Arabidopsis thaliana: one gene and its partners. The protein of the gene in region 1 interacts with the protein of each later gene in a pairwise test. Each region holds a gene or a part of one and is shown in the gene's direction. Other genes may lie near its edges. The genes, in order: UNE16, NIMIN-3, ERF8 and HAM3.

Region 1 (5,445 bases):
AAATGCACTGGTTACACTTTATTCTAGATGCGGAAAAATAGAGGAATCGTATTTAGCGTTTGAACAAACTGAAGCTGGAGATAATATAGCATGGAATGCTCTGGTATCCGGATTTCAGCAGAGTGGAAACAATGAAGAAGCACTTCGTGTCTTCGTTCGAATGAACAGAGAAGGAATTGACAATAATAATTTCACGTTTGGGTCTGCTGTGAAAGCTGCTTCTGAGACAGCTAACATGAAACAAGGGAAGCAGGTTCATGCTGTGATCACCAAAACCGGATACGATTCAGAAACCGAAGTTTGCAATGCTTTAATCTCTATGTATGCCAAGTGTGGGAGCATTTCTGATGCAGAGAAGCAGTTCCTTGAAGTCTCCACGAAAAATGAAGTTTCGTGGAATGCGATAATTAATGCTTATTCTAAACATGGGTTTGGTTCTGAAGCACTAGATTCTTTTGACCAGATGATACATTCTAATGTAAGGCCTAATCATGTGACGCTTGTGGGAGTTCTATCAGCATGTAGCCACATAGGACTAGTGGACAAGGGGATTGCATACTTTGAATCCATGAATTCAGAATATGGATTATCTCCTAAACCGGAACACTATGTGTGTGTAGTGGATATGCTAACTCGAGCTGGTCTTTTGAGCCGTGCGAAAGAGTTCATTCAGGAAATGCCTATTAAGCCAGATGCCTTGGTCTGGAGAACACTTTTGAGTGCTTGTGTAGTGCACAAGAACATGGAAATAGGAGAATTTGCAGCGCATCATCTCCTAGAGTTAGAACCTGAAGACTCAGCAACATATGTTCTTCTGTCAAATCTGTATGCGGTGTCCAAGAAATGGGATGCTAGGGATCTTACAAGACAAAAGATGAAAGAAAAGGGTGTGAAGAAAGAACCGGGACAAAGTTGGATTGAAGTTAAAAACTCAATTCACTCTTTCTATGTTGGTGACCAGAATCACCCGTTAGCAGATGAGATACATGAATACTTCCAAGATCTTACCAAACGAGCATCTGAAATCGGGTATGTGCAAGACTGTTTCAGCCTATTGAATGAACTGCAGCACGAGCAAAAAGATCCAATAATTTTCATCCACAGCGAGAAATTAGCAATTTCATTTGGACTCCTTAGCTTGCCTGCAACAGTGCCTATAAATGTAATGAAGAACCTACGTGTTTGCAACGATTGCCATGCTTGGATAAAGTTTGTATCTAAGGTATCAAATCGAGAAATCATAGTGAGGGATGCATATAGGTTTCATCATTTTGAAGGAGGTGCTTGCTCTTGTAAAGATTACTGGTAAGAGCCAAAGCCTGGTAGCTCACTCGCCTCTTTTGGGAAGGTTAAGTCTGTGTTCCAAAGTTCGAGCTCTGGTTCTCGCTCAAAGAAGGAGATCATGGACCAAACCTTACGGGTAAGCTGAATTCTCAGCAATGATATGATACTAGACGATATACTTGAGCAAAGAGTATTATCCTGAAGGAAAGAATAGTCACATGACTGTTCTTGAGGAAAAGTTGGAGTTGATGCAGGAGTTGATCATGAGCAAAGGAGACCATCGATGACTTAACAAAACGAACCACTCCTTTGTTTCTACTACCATTGCTAAGTAACTATCACTATCTTTCATACCCCATCCTTTTTTAGGGGCTTATATATGTGTACATATTACATATATACGTGCATCTATGGCTTTAAAATTGATGAATTGTAGATTAAGAGAAAGTGTCTCAAAATAAAGATTCTATGTTGCCAAGAAACAGAGTCTCTCTTTATGCATATGAATGATTGATGTGCTTCTGATTTCTTAATGTTTTATGTGGCTGAATTTGGAAACTGCTATTACATAAACAAATTTTGTCAATAGTAATATAAAAATTAAAAAACTAAAGCTAAAGAATACTTTTTTTCTCTTGAATTATATAAAAGAAAAATAATTGGAAAAATGTCTAGTAGGTTTAAAGGATTTGATATTTAAAAAAAAATTGAGGACCCTATTTTTTTCTTTTTTCATTTGGTTTATTTTAGCAGTTAGCACCATCTTAAGATAGAGAACTTGAAGTTTTATTCTGCTATTGAAAAACGAAAATAATAACTAAAAGAAATTTTATCTTACTACTTTTTCAAAACATATATGTTATTTGGAATTTCAATGCAAAGAGTACAAATAACCAAAACATAAATTCTGCTCTCTCTTTTTTTTTTTTTGAAAATATCTAAATAAATTCAATAATGCACAAATATAAACACAAAATACTATCCGAGTGTTGTCTTGTCCAATCTATCAACTCGTTTCTTCGCTGTCTTAGAAATCCACAATATCTTTCTTCACACTTTCTTTCACTTTCCCGGGAAAACAGCCGAGAAAATAAAAGAAACGAAGAAAAGTTTGTTCCTTTGTGGGGATCAAAGAAGAATGTACTCGGCGATTCGGTCTTCGCTTCCTCTAGATGGCAGCTTGGGAGACTACTCTGACGGAACCAATCTTCCCATCGACGCTTGTCTGGTCCTAACCACTGACCCCAAGCCTCGCCTTCGTTGGACCTCTGAGCTCCATGAAAGATTCGTTGACGCCGTCACTCAGCTCGGCGGACCCGACAGTAAGTGTCCCTTCTTAGAAATTTATGGATCTTAGAATGAAATGTGTTTTTTTTTTTAATCTGTTGTTCTTCAGTTAGTACGAAGAATTTGACAACGAGTTAGGTCTAATTTCTTTCAGATTTGGAAGTCAATCATCCTGAAATAGAATGGATTTCTTGGGTTTATGTCACTTAGAACAATTTAGGAATTACTGTGGCATTCTTTAGGTTTTTTTTATTGGCCTTGAGATTTGTTTACAAGATTAGTTTTTTTGTGTGTTTGGTTTGATGTCAGAAGCAACGCCTAAAACTATAATGAGAACAATGGGAGTGAAGGGTCTCACTCTTTACCATCTCAAATCTCATCTTCAGGTTTTGATGCTACTACCTTCAATATCAAATTATGCTTCTTTGGCTACTTATAACAAACAAAGTTCATTGCTTTTTGACTGTGTTGTTCTCTGGTTTTTTGCTCGGTAGAAATTCCGCTTGGGGAGGCAATCTTGTAAAGAATCAATTGACAACTCTAAGGATGGTATTCAGTTATATCTTTAGCTAAGAATCCATTTATATCTTTATGGATTCAGTTGTGCATTTATATCTTTGTGAACTTATATCTCTGTAGTTTCTTGTGTTGCGGAGAGTCAGGACACTGGTTCATCTTCAACATCATCCTTAAGATTGGCTGCTCAAGAACAGAACGAGTATGGTTTCAAGTGTTCTCTTTATTCCAAGTGTTATATTCACTGTCTATAACACTCATTGTTTTTGTCTTGAGCCAGGAGTTACCAGGTCACTGAAGCTTTGCGTGCCCAGATGGAAGTCCAAAGAAGACTACACGAGCAACTAGAGGTTAGTTTCTTCTTCGAATTCACCAAATACCAGAGAGACTTTGGTTAATGAGAGACTATATAGAAACCTCCATTGAATTTCCTTAAAGCTTATCAGAACGTTACTACTTAGGAAATCTTTTCATGAAAGTTAGAACCATAGAAACCGCATATACTAATGTTTGAGCCCTGGTTCCACATTTAATAAGATCCATTAGTATACGCAGGTGCAAAGGCGACTCCAGTTAAGGATCGAGGCACAAGGGAAGTACCTGCAATCAATTCTAGAGAAAGCTTGCAAGGCTATAGAGGAGCAAGCTGTTGCATTTGCTGGGTTAGAGGCAGCTAGAGAAGAGCTTTCAGAGCTAGCCATAAAGGCCTCCATCACCAATGGGTGCCAAGGAACAACAAGCACCTTCGACACAACCAAAATGATGATTCCATCCTTATCCGAGCTTGCAGTAGCAATAGAGCACAAGAACAACTGTTCAGCAGAGAGCTCTCTGACTTCCAGCACTGTAGGAAGTCCGGTATCAGCTGCGTTGATGAAGAAGAGACAACGAGGAGTGTTTGGAAATGGAGATAGTGTGGTTGTTGGTCATGATGCTGGATGGGTTATGCCTAGTAGTAGCATTGGATGAAGTTAGCAAGAGAGAGAGAGAGAGCGAGACCAGATTTTAGCTTATTTAATTTTGCTATGTTGTATTTAACTCTAAACTCTGTCATCAAACTTGTCTTAGCGTCTATGTATATATTTGTTGAATCTGTAGCCTCTCTTTTAGTTTGTGTATTTGCTTCAACTTTTTCTAAGCTTGCCTTCTTTTTTCTTTTTTGGACAAACCTAAATATAGAATTTATGTAATTGTATAACATAAAAAATACTCATTAAATACTCATAACTTATCTCCATGCTATAGATTGGATCTTGTCTACAAATTAGTTGGCACACATTTGCGTAAATGCACAAATTTGATTACGTGTGTAAAATAAAATGTCAAAGAAAAAAAAAAAAATCTCAAGAGGAAGAGAGTGATGGGGTCGGCGATAAAATGACGGCGTATCTGCTCACTCGTACGGTGATTTGCAACTGAAGTTTTGAAAACTAAAAAAGAAGTTTTGATTTTTGAACAAAGAGAGAAAATAAAAACGGCAGAGGAAGAGCCGTTTACGTTGTGCTTGCTTCCCCAAGATTTCTCAACTTCTTCTTCTTCGTGTGAGTTTCAATTCTCTAATTTACTAAAAATTAATCAAATCGCAAGGAGTTTCTCTGTGTTAACGATTGATTCATCGTTGAGTTTTCTCTGTGGTAACGATTGTGTTTATATATAATTTGATTGATTGATTGATTAACTTACCAAATTAGTCTTAGATTTGGATATATGCTTGTAATTGATTCAAATAACAATTTGATTCTCTAACCAATTTCTCAAACTTTGAGTAATTTCTGTAGATTATTGTATACTTGCAGGTATAAAATGCGTTGCCAGGAGGTAAAATCATGGACATTTAAAGGTTTAGTGGCTGCGTTTATCGATCTTTCCGTTGCGTTTTCGCTACTTTGCGCATCGTTTATCGTTTATGTAACATCGAAGTTCCTCGGTTTATTTGGTTTAGACCTACCATGTCCTTGTGATGGTCTATACAGTGAGTGTTTTCAAGAGAGTTTAAGGAATCTTCCGGTTAAAAAGATCTCTTCTGTTCAAAGATCTGTTAAAAATAGAACACCTTTTGATTCAATTCTGTATAATGGTGGAAAGAAGAGAAAATGTGAGCGTAGACGTGTTCAGTTGGAAGATGAGGTATCTAGTACTACTCCTTCTGTTGGAAAGTTTGAGAATAAGGCTTCAGGGTTCGATCTTTTAACTGCGCAAAGTTTGAAAAAAGGAAGCTTTAAAGTTAAGAGTAAGCGGCTTAGCTTCCATAGGTCGCCGTATGGTTTCAAGAACCATTACCAAAGTTGTTTAGGCCTTAAGAGCTTTGAGGGATCATATGATGAAAATGATCCTCTTCTTGTGAACTCCAATGGTAAG
Region 2 (4,226 bases), on another chromosome or scaffold:
TGAAGATTTACGACCAGAAGAGAATATTCTGGGAACGGATTTGAATGATGGGTTTCACAATGTTGGAGACTTACCACCTGTGTCAAAACAACTCTCGGATGATCTTTCAGATGTTCGAAGAAGGGCCTCACTTTGCATTGCTGTTGTAGGAGCCACTGGTGAGCTAGCAAGAGGGAAGATTTTCCCGGCATTGTTTGCGTTGTATTATAGCGGCTACCTTCCTGAGGTATGACTTTTGTGCTCATGAACAATTACAAAGTAAGCAGCAAAACAGTTGGATAGTTTTTTTCGGTTGTCTTCTTGATTGGTCTTCATTGTCACAGGATGTTGCTATATTTGGGGTTTCAAGAAAGAATCTGACAGATGAAGACCTCAGATCCATCATTGCATCAACGCTGACTTGCCGTGTTGATCATCAGTATGTATAATTCTTGGTACTACCTTAAATTTGGTATCTCTGATATACGGCCGTGCTAGCTAAAGAATGATGCTAAATGTTCAGGGAGAATTGTGGGGGCAAGATGGATGCATTTCAGAGTAGAACATACTATATCAATGGAGGTTATAATAACAGGGATGGGATGTCCCGACTTGCCGAGAGAATGAAACAGATTGAGGTTCCTAAGTACCTTTTTTTCTTTCTTTCAATGATTACATTTTGTCCCAGAAGTAGTCCTCTTTCTGAGTTTACAACATTTTGAACAGACAAGCAAGATAGAATAAGACATTAACAGCTTTTCTTCTTCAGGGAGAATCAGAAGCAAATAGAATCTTTTACCTCTCAGTACCTCAAGAAGCTCTGGTGGATGTGGCATGCACCATTGGAGATAACGCTCAGGCACCACGAGGCTGGACTCGAATAATAGTTGAGAAACCTTTTGGTTTTAACTCACATTCGTCTCATCAGTTAACAAAGTCACTTCTCTCTAAGTTTGAAGAGAAGCAAATCTACAGGTCCTTCTTTTAAATCTAGTTGCTTTCTGCATGCACAGCTCTCAAGTTCATATTTCTTCACACTTCTGTGCCCGTTACAGGATAGATCACATGTTAGGAAGAAACCTCATTGAAAATCTGACAGTGTTAAGGTTTTCAAATCTAGTTTTTGAACCACTATGGAACAGAACATACATACGCAATATACAGGTAGTGTTTCCTTCTGATTGTTTGTAGTTGTGTATAGTGCCTGAACTTTCCTCTTCCACATTCTGGTTTGTTCACTTTGTGTATAAATGATGTTTCCAGGTTATTATATCAGAATCAATTGCGCAAACAGAAAAGTAAGGCACAATAGTTCTATTTTCACCATTTCTTTGCATGTGAGAGTAAATTGTGTTGTTTCAGCATTCTTAGACAAATCAGTAATGTTATTTTCTAATTTCCTACTGCTTTTTTTAAGGTTTTCTGATGGATATGGAATAATACGGGACATAGTGCACAGCCATATACTTCAGACAATCGCATTACTTGCCATGGAACCTCCGATAAGTCTCGATGGTGAAGATATCCGAAATGAAAAGGTCAACCTGTACTGTAAAGAACAAAATCGTCTTATGGTATATATGTAAGTTGTGTACTCTTGTTCTGTCAAGTGACTTGGTGACAAACCTGCTTCTGCAGGTGAAGGTTTTAAGATCAATTCGCAAGATAGACCCGCGTGATGTCATCCTTGGCCAGTATAAATCCAGTTCCCGAGACAAGAACGGTGTGATCTTGAACGGTGTAGACCCTACATATTGTGCAGCAGCCTTGTATATTGATAATGCACGTTGGGATGGTGTACCTTTCCTTGTAAGAGTTGGCACTGGCCTCATTAAACACAGGTAAGAATAATTATTCCTACTCATAGACATATCCAACTGTCATAACAATTGATTGGTGTGCCTTAATGTTGAAAGAGTGGAGATTCATGTGCAATTCCGGCATGTTCCTGGAAACCTATACCGAGAAAATATTGGAATAAACATAGATTTGGGGACAAATGAGCTTATTCTACGTGACGAACCTGATGAGGCCATCCTGGTGAAAATCAACAACAAGGTTCCTGGTTTAGGTCTTCAGCTAGACGCTTCTGAACTTAACTTGCTCTATAAAGACAGGCAAGTTTTGCATTCTCATCTTTGTTCCTACACATTTTAAAAATCGAACTTTTGCGCCTTATGGTTGGTTGAATTGTTGGATCAAACCTGTAGGTATAAAACCGAAGTACCAGACTCATATGAACACCTAATTCATGATGTAATTGACGGAGACAATCATCTGTTCATGAGAAGCGATGAGGTTGCAGCAGCATGGAACATTCTTAGTCCGGTTCTAGAAGAGATAGACAAGCATCACACAGCTCCGGAGTTGTATGAATTTGGTGGACGAGGACCAGTTGCGGCATACTATCTTTGGGCCAAGCACGGTGTCCCATGGGCAGATGACTGAAGAAGAAACATAGATGCAGCAACAAACAAATGAGAGTGATTCTGAATGGTTATTGTGAAGTGTGTTTGTTTAGCTTGAAGCTGTGCCATTCCCTGTAGACTGTACATATGTACACATGTATGTCATGTTGCTATATGAATGTCCATCATGGTGGGGTCCATAATAGTGTTGAAAAGTCTCCAAAGCCACCCAAAGGAAAGAAGAAAGTCTGAGAGACTTTTAGATAAGGTCATGTTGTTAGTCTTCCCACTAGAGGCAATAATTATATCTTCTCCACCAATTCCTCCAGAAAATTCTTCCAGATGTATCATGTGTTGATGATCAAAGTAGGATGAAAATGATGTAACTAAAGAGAAACATTTTCATAGGGGAAGGAAGAGAGAGCGGTTCAATGGACAGAGACAGAAAGAGGGTGAAAATGGAGAAGGAAGATGACGAAGAAGAAAAGATGGAGAAGTTGTACACAGTGCTTAAAAACGCAAGGGAAATGCGGAAATATGTCAACAGCTCCATGGAGAAGAAGAGACAGGAAGAAGAAGAAAGAGCAAGGGTTCGTAGATTCCCTTCGTTTCAGCCAGAAGATTTCATTTTCATGAATAAAGCAGAGGCCAACAACATTGAAAAAGCAGCTAATGAGAGCTCTTCAGCATCCAACGAGTATGATGGCTCTAAGGAAAAGCAAGAAGGATCTGAGACTAACGTTTGTTTAGACTTGAATCTTTCTCTGTAGCATACATACATACAAGAGACAAAGAGCTCTTCAGTTTCTGTATAAGCAACAAAGAATGTTAGTAACTACGTACCAAAAACAAATGTGTCATGGAATTCTAGTTTTGCTTGAAGATTGTTCATCACTTCTTATTAACCATATTGAAGAAAATGCTACAAATGCACATTGATAACAAGATCAGTAAAAAAATATATATATATTAGCAGAAGAACTTAGAGAGAACTCTCATCAATGGCTGAGCAAGTTCCTATGGTTTGCGAGAATTACTCCATTTTGCCAACGCTCCAACGAGGATTGATAGCTAAGCCTAAGATTAAAAAAAAACATTCTGCTTGGCATTTATTGAATCTCACCAGTAATCTTTACAGGAACACTCTCCGTTTCTGAAGTGATGGAATCTGTTTGCATCTCTTAGAATGATCTCCCTCTCTTTCACCTTAGAGATTATTTTTATTGCTGTGTGGCAATCACTACAAACTCTAAGGTTCTTCATGACTCGGATGGGTATTCCTTCAGATAGCTTTAAAAGAGCATAAGCTACCGCTAGTCTCTCGCTATGATATTTCAGGCTATTGACTTTCTCTTCCTCGTCTACATCGTGCAATGCATAGCTGCAATCAGGATTATACCCGGCTTCTCTCAATAACCCATCCAATTCATCCAGTATCTTCAAAATAGATTCCTGCTCGGGATGGCTATTAATACCCCCACGAGTGAATGCATGCACCTTGTTCTCGACTTCAGTCCAGCTACAACCTGGTGATTTTCTTACCAACCTAGTCTTCATAAGTTTTCTCAGTTCTGCAACGTCAGCCCACCTACCTTGAGATGCATACATGTTGGAGAGCAAGATGTAAGTCCCAGAATTCTCCGGTTCAATCTCTATGAGTTTCTTCGCACAAAATTCTGCCACATCCAGCTGCGAGTGAGTTCTGCACGCTCCTAATAGAGAACCCCAAACTGCAGCATCTGGTTCGACAGTCATACTATCAATCATTTCCATTGCCTCATTAAACCGTCCTGCACGCCCAAGCATATCTACCATGCAAGCATAATGCGCGGTGATTGG
Region 3 (4,145 bases), on another chromosome or scaffold:
TATTTTTTTCCTTCAGTTTTGCTCCAAAAACTTTAATCTTGTTCGAATCCAGTTTTTATCTAAACTGACTCTATAAATACCAGAGATTCTTTATAACACTGAAAACTTATTGAGTATATTAGATTTAGAAGTTTAGTAAATATTCTAACACCTCAAAGTTTGAGACAGAATTTTTAAGTTGATCAAGTTATAACAGTATTCTGAAAAGTGTATTTTCCAATCTTATTGATATGTTTCATTCACGATTTTTTTTTCTCCTTTCTCTTATCCCTCGACGATTGAATTTAAGATCAGATGTTTTAGCCCGTCTAGCCAAAATGTTTTTTGAAGACATTGGCTTTGTAAATTATACTCATTTGGTTTGAGCGATAATCAAGAAATTACTTTACAATTTAAGTTTGAATTTGGCAAAAAAAAGTTTTTGTTGTGCGTTTATTTGACTAGATTATATTATACTTTACTCTAACTACAATCATATATATACATTGGTAACACGATAGACAACATATATAAAAGTCTTTTAAACTATAAAAGCCAACATATATATTCCATAGTATTCTTTAAAACAAAAACAAATATGCATGTAAATAATAGATTTGTCTTTTTATTGTTGTCACTGTAGCGACATTTTTTTCCGTCACTGTAACAACGTATATTTTCTCCACAGAACTAACAAATTCGAATCTATTTGTTTGATGGTGTTCATTTTTAATCCAATGTACATATGCAAGTAGTAGATATCTCTTTCTTTTTTGTATATACACGATATATAAAATAGTTCACTAAGTTATAAATCTAAAAATTTATTTTGATAATATTTTGTTTACCAAATAAATACACAAATAGTATATATGCGTTGTTCGTCATGATATCGTCATATATAAAATCCACTACAATATAAAATTTTGGTCATTTTGTTTGATAATATTTATTTTTCACCAGATATAAGCATGTAAATAATAGATTTTTTTTTTCTTGTCGGCTCGTTAACGACATTTATAACGGAATAACGGTATACTAAAGTACAAATTTTTATTCTATTCCCTTTATACCAAATAAGCTTTCATGGTAACATCCGCTAAATTATATATTGTCATCATGGTAACATCCGCTAAATTACAAATTTCAAATAATTTTTACTTTTACCAAACAGAAAAGTAAGAAATATTTTTTTGTCGACACTTTAACGATATATATATGTAACGGTATATAATTTACAAATTCAGAAATTTTGTTCGCTATATATTTTCTTACAAATTTTTTTTTTTTTGTTTATGTGTTAACAACATATATAACTACAAATTCGATAATTTTGTTTGAATATTTTTTCTACTAGATACACACACAATAGTTTATATTATATATATATATATATAAATCTTGACCTAACTAAAACATATAGTTTAAAAGGGTGTTATTAGTTCTTAATTAATTAAAAAAAATTCAAGAATCTGATAAAATCATAGATTGTAAAGAAATGAAAGTTTCTAAACTATTATTATAGAGTTTTCTATAATCTTGTTGATTAGTTTTTCACAATTTCTAAATTTTCTCAAACAATCTTTCTTTTTTAATGATACTTTTCGTAACTTTATTTTGGAAAAAGTGTAGAAAATCATAAACCAATAACACAATAATTTAATTCATTGACAATTATAGATTCTTTTGTTTTAGCTAAATAATATAAAATTTATAATAATTTTATAAAAGTATAAATCCAATAACTATAGATTTATCAAGATTTTAAATTATTTTTTACAAATCTTAATATTTTAAATTTTTTTAATTGAATAACAATAGATTCTTTATAATATTTTAAGTTACTAAAACTTTAATTAAATCACAAACTAATAACACTCTTTAATAGTGTATACTAGTATTATTGTTATGTCATTATATAGATTTAAATCCGCATATTACATTGCTTTAATAAGAAAAATTACTTAAAATTGCAAAGTGGCGATATAACATGTTTTATAGATTTAGTACAAATATGTTCCTAGTTTAAATAGGGATAAATGCAGCAAAAACCAAATTATATTATATTCTTAATAGGCAGTAACTTAATTTATAAGATTGTGATTTGTGCAGTCTTTGTTACAAAGGTGAAAAAGGGTAATAAATAAGATTCTTTTGGAGAAAGAGAAGTGAACACGTGGCAAAACATAAGTGGATATAATAACAAAAACCAGTTTTTATATGAAATAAGAGAAGCATGAGAGAGAGATAATTAAACCATCTCTCAAAATGGCTTTGACTGTTCACAAGAAAGCTCCCCAAAAGGAGCGTTGCTTTACTCTCCTATAAAAAGAAGCTCTTCTACTTCTTCTCGTTACCACAAAACTCTTTCACCGATCTTCTCGTTCCATTCTTCTTCCTAATTACACCATGCCCAACATCACCATGGGTTTGAAACCCGACCCGGTTGCTCCAACGAACCCGACTCATCATGAGAGTAATGCTGCCAAAGAGATTCGTTACAGAGGCGTTAGGAAACGTCCATGGGGAAGATACGCCGCTGAGATCCGAGATCCGGTTAAGAAAACTCGAGTCTGGCTCGGTACGTTCGACACCGCTCAGCAGGCGGCGCGTGCTTACGACGCAGCCGCGCGTGACTTTCGTGGTGTTAAGGCTAAGACCAATTTCGGTGTTATCGTTGGTAGTAGTCCTACTCAGAGTAGCACCGTCGTCGACTCTCCCACGGCGGCACGGTTTATAACACCTCCGCACCTCGAGCTCAGCTTAGGCGGCGGCGGCGCGTGTCGTCGTAAGATCCCGCTTGTGCATCCGGTTTACTACTATAACATGGCGACGTATCCAAAGATGACGACGTGTGGTGTCCAGAGCGAGTCTGAAACGTCGTCGGTCGTTGATTTCGAAGGTGGAGCTGGGAAGATATCTCCGCCGTTAGATCTGGATCTTAACTTAGCTCCTCCGGCGGAATAGGCCGTGAGTTTTTTTTTTCTTATGTCGTTTCTTTAGACAAAAAAAAATAACGTTTCCTTTTTTTTTCTGCCTAAGAAAAAAATATTATCCGTTTTTTAGAAGAAAGTGTAGAAAAGCTCCAATATAATTTTTAGCTGCCGTGAAAAAAAAGTCGTTATGTATATATTATTATGAAACCCTATTATAAATCGACGTAACATAAGAGGATCTTAAGCTTTTTTTTTTTCTTTAGTATTTGCCAAGGAAATGCATCATCGTAAATTCGTAATTGAAAAGATAAAGTATTATAGAGCTTTTTGGGGCTCGTGTGTAGAAGAAATAGATAAAGAATGGTAATGTTATTATTATAAGACTAAATATAGTGATGAGTATCGTCGTCGTCGGCTTGAAAAGACAATGGTCCAAGTGTCGTGAAGACACGCACCAATCGTGGGAGGACCGGACCCATCTTCTCTGGCTGCGGCGTACGTTAGAAGAATACTTCTTTACGCTTACGTCATTTTCACAGTTTGGACTGCTTTTCTAACTTTTGACTTTTGTGTTTTGCATCAACTCTTTTAACTCCGATGATTTATTAACAGATGGTTAAGAGTCTTGCTTAAGTTGAATAGTATTCGATTTGAAATGGTAAAAATGTTTTAAGGAAGTTGAAGATAAGAAGAGCGGCGGCTTCATAATGAGAGACAAAGGAAGGATGAGATTTGATTTTGATTCTTGTCGCCAACTTTGTGATCAAAAAACGTATAAAACAGTTATGCTCTATGGTCGCAGATCCAACGGCTGGAATCGTCATCGTTACCACGTGGACGCTTAACATAATTTAAATTCTTATTTCATATTTTTTTAAAGAAGTTAGTATGTTTTAAAATATATATATATGCATGCGTACAAAATCGTGTTAAGGGTTATAATAAAGGGATGTAAAATTGGGGCCTCTAGAAAGTTGAATAGTTTCAATTAAGCCCTTATCTTAACGACATTTAGCCCCACTCAACCAAATATACACCCATGTCATGTCACTACGCACAACTATGGATCACTCCCATAAGTAGATGTTTTATATCAATTGACGATTGCAACTTTTTTACGTTACAAATTTAATGCTGGACCGAAGGCTACCATACTAGGATCCGAAAGCCCGATCCACGTGTGGCGTCATCAGGACAATGTTTGCGACACGTCGGCTGAGGTGTTTGGCG
Region 4 (5,583 bases), 7.9 Mb from region 1:
TGGAGGGACTTTCTCCGTTAGAAATGCTCTAAGAGACTTCTGTATTTTGGAGTGTCATTCGATCATAGTAATTTTTTTTTTTTTTTTTGTTGTTGTTGTCGAATCATAGTAATGTGTTGTCAATGATCAAATGAGAGTTAGATTATGTTTAAGGAAATGTATATGATTAAAGAAATAAGGAAATTCCTTTACCAACTTTATATTGTGGTAATTGTTAATTACTTCCCGCCGATCTTGGTTTTTTTTTTTTAATCATAATTATTATTACTTTGGCTCTAATGAGATGAAGAAATCTTCTCTATTTTTCTTTATCCTTATCAGTCCCATGTGATCTCCTAATAATAATTGATCAATTTTTGTCTAATCTAACTAATCATCATCCTAAAATCTAATACAAAATGAACGACGCAATCATTTATATATGGTTACATGCATACAAACTCTAACACGTTATCCTTCAATATAAATTATTGTTTGACAAGATTAATATATTTAGCTGACTTGTTTCTTCCTCTAATTATGGCAAAGCACGATTCTGTTCATCATACGAACTATCCGATTGAGTGGGGTTGGGTGTGTTGCTTGTGATGAAGGGTGCCTTGAGACGAGAGAAAAGAACATGTTTTCACCACGTAACTTACTTCACCCTCACGAAGTTAACACACACATATATTTAGTATTCCAATATACCAAATATTATATTAATATATCATGAAACTTGAAAATGTGTTGGTGTATTATGTATGTCAATAAGAAATAATATTAATACAGTTTCGCGATCATTTCAAGATTTATAATAATTTTGTATAAGAAAGAAAAGTGTGAGAAGTAGTTGTTAGCAAATCACATGGGAACATATAAACTAATTAAATCTTAAAAATGAACATTTTAACTTTTTGTTGTTATATAAAGTAAGTTAACTATCAATAATCATCAAATATTTATGGTACTTAACAAGTATTATAATATGGGACTAAAAATTACTATACAAGAAACTGAACTCTGTGTTTTTTTGTGCGGTCATAATTCGCATATAAAAGATAGATTCAGAATCTGATATTGTTTATACTTTTTTTTTTTTCTTTGATATTGTTTATACTAATGAATTGGTTTGCATAGAAAAGTAAATGCTTTTTCATTATCATGAATACATGATAATGAAACTGTCGCCATTCATTGCAAAATTGGTCCGATTTTAATCTGTCTTCATCAATTACCCACCTCTCTTTCTTGTTGTTTTTTCTGATTGCTTTATTCATTTATTTATTATAGGGTTTTCCATTGGTAGATATATTTATATATGTATATATATGGTGATTGGTGACTTCCATTGTCTGCTCAATAAAGGACTACCACTCGTTCTTTCTCAATCTCTCGTGCATTTAACTTGTCACAGAAGAAACATCATTCACAGATCTTCAATCACTTTTTTCCTTCAAACGAAAAGATGTACCAAAGAAAGTATGTTTTTATATACACGTAAATATATATATAACTCCTTCTTTGTTATAAGTAGTACATGAATGTTTCAGATAATGACGATCATTCGTATCTCGTTAAGTTAAAACAAGAAAAACAAAACAGATATTTTTGATGTAACTCCAATATATACATAGTTTTTGTTTCCACTTTGTTTAGATTTATAAATTTAGATTATGTCCGTAGCAAAAAAAAAAAAAAAAAGGAAACACAAATTAATATAAGCACTGCAATATGTGGTTTAGCTCGTACAATGGATTGGGTGATTTGAGTGGTTAATTTGATAAAGATGATCCAAAAGCTTGTCCAAACCCTAAAACAAACTATTGGGGACAAAGATCACACAAAAGGAAATAACGACAGCACCTTTGAGATAAAACAAAACAAAACAATATCCCAAATATAGTTTGCAAGCCACAAAGTTTTAATCATGAAAATAAATTATAAGAAAACAAAAACATTCCCAATATATTATGACATCCTTTTTTTTTTTTGGGCAAGTATTATGACATCTAAATATACAGTACAACATCAAAAATATGGGGAAAATGTTTTTTTTTTTTAATAGTTTCTAGTAATTCAAGAAGACAAATACAATATTTAAAAATATATCATAACATTTAGTATTTTTGTTTACCATCATGTTCATGTCACTGAAAGGAGTTTGCAAGCCACGCGCGTGATGTAAGAGTGGGGTTGTAATAGAAGACATAGTTAAGATTAGAAAGCAAAGATTAACAAAATGTTGTGTAAGAGAAGCTGATGAATTGTTTAATCAGCTAAGTTAATGACAAAGGCAAAATGATAGGAAACGGAAATAAGAGAGAAAAAGAAAGGAGGAAGCCCACTTTGCCACTTTAATATCTTGCACGCATCCAATATACCTCACCACACCACATCACAACAACGAAGAAGAAGAAGAAGAAGAAGAGCTTCAAGAAGACAAATACACTATTTTTTATCGTCTGCAATGCCCTTACCCTTTGAAGAGTTTCAAGGGAAGGGGATTTCTTGTTTCTCTTCTTTCTCGTCTTCCTTCCCCCAACCACCGTCGTCTCCGCTTTTGAGCCACCGCAAAGCAAGAGGCGGCGAAGAAGAAGAGGAAGAAGTTCCCGCGGCGGAGCCTACCTCTGTTCTGGACTCCCTCATAAGCCCAACCTCTTCCTCCACGGTGTCTTCCTCTCACGGCGGAAACAGCGCCGTCGGAGGCGGCGGCGACGCCACCACCGATGAGCAATGCGGAGCCATTGGGTTGGGTGATTGGGAGGAGCAAGTTCCTCATGACCACGAACAGAGCATTCTCGGACTCATCATGGGAGATTCCACAGATCCCTCTCTTGAACTCAACAGCATTCTCCAAACATCTCCCACCTTCCACGACTCTGACTACTCATCACCCGGTTTCGGAGTCGTCGACACCGGCTTCGGTTTAGACCACCACTCTGTTCCGCCGTCACATGTTTCCGGTCTTCTGATCAACCAAAGTCAAACCCACTACACACAGAATCCTGCGGCTATCTTCTACGGCCACCACCACCATACACCTCCGCCGGCAAAGCGGCTCAACCCTGGTCCCGTGGGGATAACAGAGCAGCTGGTTAAGGCAGCAGAGGTCATAGAGAGCGACACGTGTCTAGCTCAGGGGATATTGGCGCGGCTCAATCAACAGCTCTCTTCTCCCGTCGGGAAGCCATTAGAAAGAGCAGCTTTTTACTTCAAAGAAGCTCTCAATAATCTCCTTCACAACGTCTCCCAAACCCTAAACCCTTATTCCCTCATCTTCAAGATCGCTGCTTACAAATCCTTCTCAGAGATCTCTCCCGTTCTTCAGTTCGCCAACTTTACCTCCAACCAAGCCCTCTTAGAGTCCTTCCATGGCTTCCACCGTCTCCACATCATCGACTTCGATATCGGCTACGGTGGCCAATGGGCTTCCCTCATGCAAGAGCTTGTTCTCCGCGACAACGCCGCTCCTCTCTCCCTCAAGATCACCGTTTTCGCTTCTCCGGCGAACCACGACCAGCTCGAACTTGGCTTCACTCAAGACAACCTCAAGCACTTCGCCTCTGAGATCAACATCTCCCTTGACATCCAAGTTTTGAGCTTAGACCTCCTCGGCTCCATCTCGTGGCCTAACTCGTCGGAGAAAGAAGCTGTCGCCGTTAACATCTCCGCCGCGTCCTTCTCGCACCTCCCTTTGGTCCTCCGTTTCGTGAAGCATCTATCTCCGACGATCATCGTCTGCTCCGACAGAGGATGCGAGAGGACGGATCTGCCCTTCTCTCAACAGCTCGCCCACTCGCTGCACTCACACACCGCTCTCTTCGAATCCCTCGACGCCGTCAACGCCAACCTCGACGCAATGCAGAAGATCGAGAGGTTTCTTATACAGCCGGAGATAGAGAAGCTGGTGTTGGATCGTAGCCGTCCGATAGAAAGGCCGATGATGACGTGGCAAGCGATGTTTCTACAGATGGGTTTCTCACCGGTGACGCACAGTAACTTCACGGAGTCTCAAGCCGAGTGTTTAGTCCAACGGACGCCAGTGAGAGGCTTTCACGTCGAGAAGAAACATAACTCACTTCTCCTATGTTGGCAAAGGACAGAACTCGTCGGAGTTTCAGCATGGAGATGTCGCTCCTCCTGATTTCCACCGGAGTTTCAATTATTAAAAAAATATTTTCCTTAATTCAATTTATCTTAAATGACAAATTTTTAGTTTCTGATTTTATTTTGCTCAGTGCGATGGATTTTTAAATTTAAGTTTCACACAAATATATAAATTTTTGTGAGAAGTTAATTAATTGTCTGATTATCAAACACTTATTGTATAACACATTCAATATATATTAATTGTGGGGATTATTTTTGATCGACTAAATAACGTGATAGAATAATGCTTGGATTAGCTCAATACTATATTTTTCTAATTAAAAATGAATGGGGTGTTGATTTTGATGCGAGGCAGAAAGCTACTGCTCATTATTGTGATTATATGATTATATAATGGTTAGAGTTTGTTGTGGTTTGTGTCTTTGCGAGGGGTCTATTTTTAATTTATAAACATATGTCTCCATGATGTCACATGGGTCTTGTATTATTTTATTTATTTGGACCACAATACATTTTTGTGTGCGCCGTTTCTAACCTTTTTTTTTCTCCGACGAAACAAAGGTTTGCTTTTTCTCCTTTAAATGGTCCATACGCATTACATATATAATGCGCCCATTTGCTTTACGCATTAACTGCATTTCTCTATAGAAATATTTCAGAAACAAACCAAGTGTATACAATACATCAACATGTTTTTTTTGGGGTTTTAATGTGAAGATTTCATTTCAATAAAAAGATTACAAGCTAATCTAAGTAATACAAACCAACATATTTTGGTTTACTCTTTATATTAAAACATCATTTAGGATAATTATTTAAAATATATATTCAAACATCTAAGGTCCTAATTAAGCATTACAAAAGATTTCCGTTTTAGAAACATATCAAGAGTTGATTAAATGGAGAAAGACGACTAAAATTTGTGAGTGAAAAATGACAATATGCCGCAAGTTATTGTCTCTTGTGCAATAAACGTTGGTTGGATACAGACACATTTGATTGAATGTGAATAGTTTAGTTTTGACAGATCATAAGCCGTGTCCTCAAGCAGAAGACCGGTCGTGATCGGTCAATCTACACGTGTACGGCAGAAACACATGTGTCGTTTCCCTGTGAGAGATGATCAACCAAATCAACGGTCAGTTTTTGTCAACTAATGTGTGTATTGATTTGTAACATGCCTACGTGAACATAAGCTAGTCACGCAACAAGCAAGGCCTGGGTCACGCAGGCTCGGCTCCACTAAGACGCGCCGACGTAGTCACTCATCATATATCACATGTCTAGATTCAAATGGTAACCGTTTGATGAGCGCAGTAAGTAGAAACATTGACCGGTCCAGGCGAGGTCTAGCAAATACTATTAGAATTAAAATTGATGTAATCAATCACTGATAAATACTATTAGAACTACTCTACTTTACACTCACGTATTCCATCATTTAATATACATACGTGAGTGTAAAGTATTTCTTCACAATTTATTTTTGAA

Evidence for each region.
Region 2: the proteins of UNE16 (region 1) and NIMIN-3 interact in binary tests that used the Arabidopsis thaliana proteins (3 or more experiments, as listed by UniProt).
Region 3: the proteins of UNE16 (region 1) and ERF8 interact in binary tests that used the Arabidopsis thaliana proteins (3 or more experiments, as listed by UniProt).
Region 4: the proteins of UNE16 (region 1) and HAM3 interact in binary tests that used the Arabidopsis thaliana proteins (3 or more experiments, as listed by UniProt).

What each region holds. Positions count from the first base shown.
Region 1 is NC_003075.7:7,935,475-7,940,919, reverse strand, and holds UNE16 (Homeodomain-like superfamily protein), read left to right. Parts: upstream 1-2,274; 5' UTR 2,275-2,422; coding exon 2,423-2,606; intron 2,607-2,880; coding exon 2,881-2,957; intron 2,958-3,065; coding exon 3,066-3,120; intron 3,121-3,210; coding exon 3,211-3,289; intron 3,290-3,367; coding exon 3,368-3,437; intron 3,438-3,633; coding exon 3,634-4,056; 3' UTR 4,057-4,314; downstream 4,315-5,445. Other genes in the region: AT4G13650 (Pentatricopeptide repeat (PPR) superfamily protein), read left to right, coding at 1-1,309; AT4G13630 (zein-binding protein (Protein of unknown function, DUF593)), read left to right, coding at 4,891-5,440. UniProt on the Arabidopsis thaliana protein: Transcriptional activator. Probable component of the central regulatory system controlling transcriptional responses to Pi starvation. Binds in a sequence-specific manner to phosphate starvation-regulated promoters.
Region 2 is NC_003070.9:3,036,841-3,041,066, reverse strand, and holds NIMIN-3 (NIM1-interacting 3), read left to right. Parts: upstream 1-2,658; 5' UTR 2,659-2,818; coding exon 2,819-3,157; 3' UTR 3,158-3,313; downstream 3,314-4,226. Other genes in the region: G6PD4 (glucose-6-phosphate dehydrogenase 4), read left to right, coding at 1-226, 324-418, 503-617, 749-954, 1,035-1,143, 1,243-1,277, 1,397-1,553, 1,624-1,820 and 2 more; AT1G09410 (pentatricopeptide (PPR) repeat-containing protein), read right to left, coding at 3,507-4,226.
Region 3 is NC_003070.9:19,820,340-19,824,484, reverse strand, and holds ERF8 (ethylene response factor 8), read left to right. Parts: upstream 1-2,232; 5' UTR 2,233-2,388; coding exon 2,389-2,946; 3' UTR 2,947-3,148; downstream 3,149-4,145.
Region 4 is NC_003075.7:55,972-61,554, reverse strand, and holds HAM3 (GRAS family transcription factor), read left to right. Parts: upstream 1-2,059; 5' UTR 2,060-2,449; coding exon 2,450-4,126; 3' UTR 4,127-4,415; downstream 4,416-5,583. UniProt on the Arabidopsis thaliana protein: Probable transcription factor involved in plant development.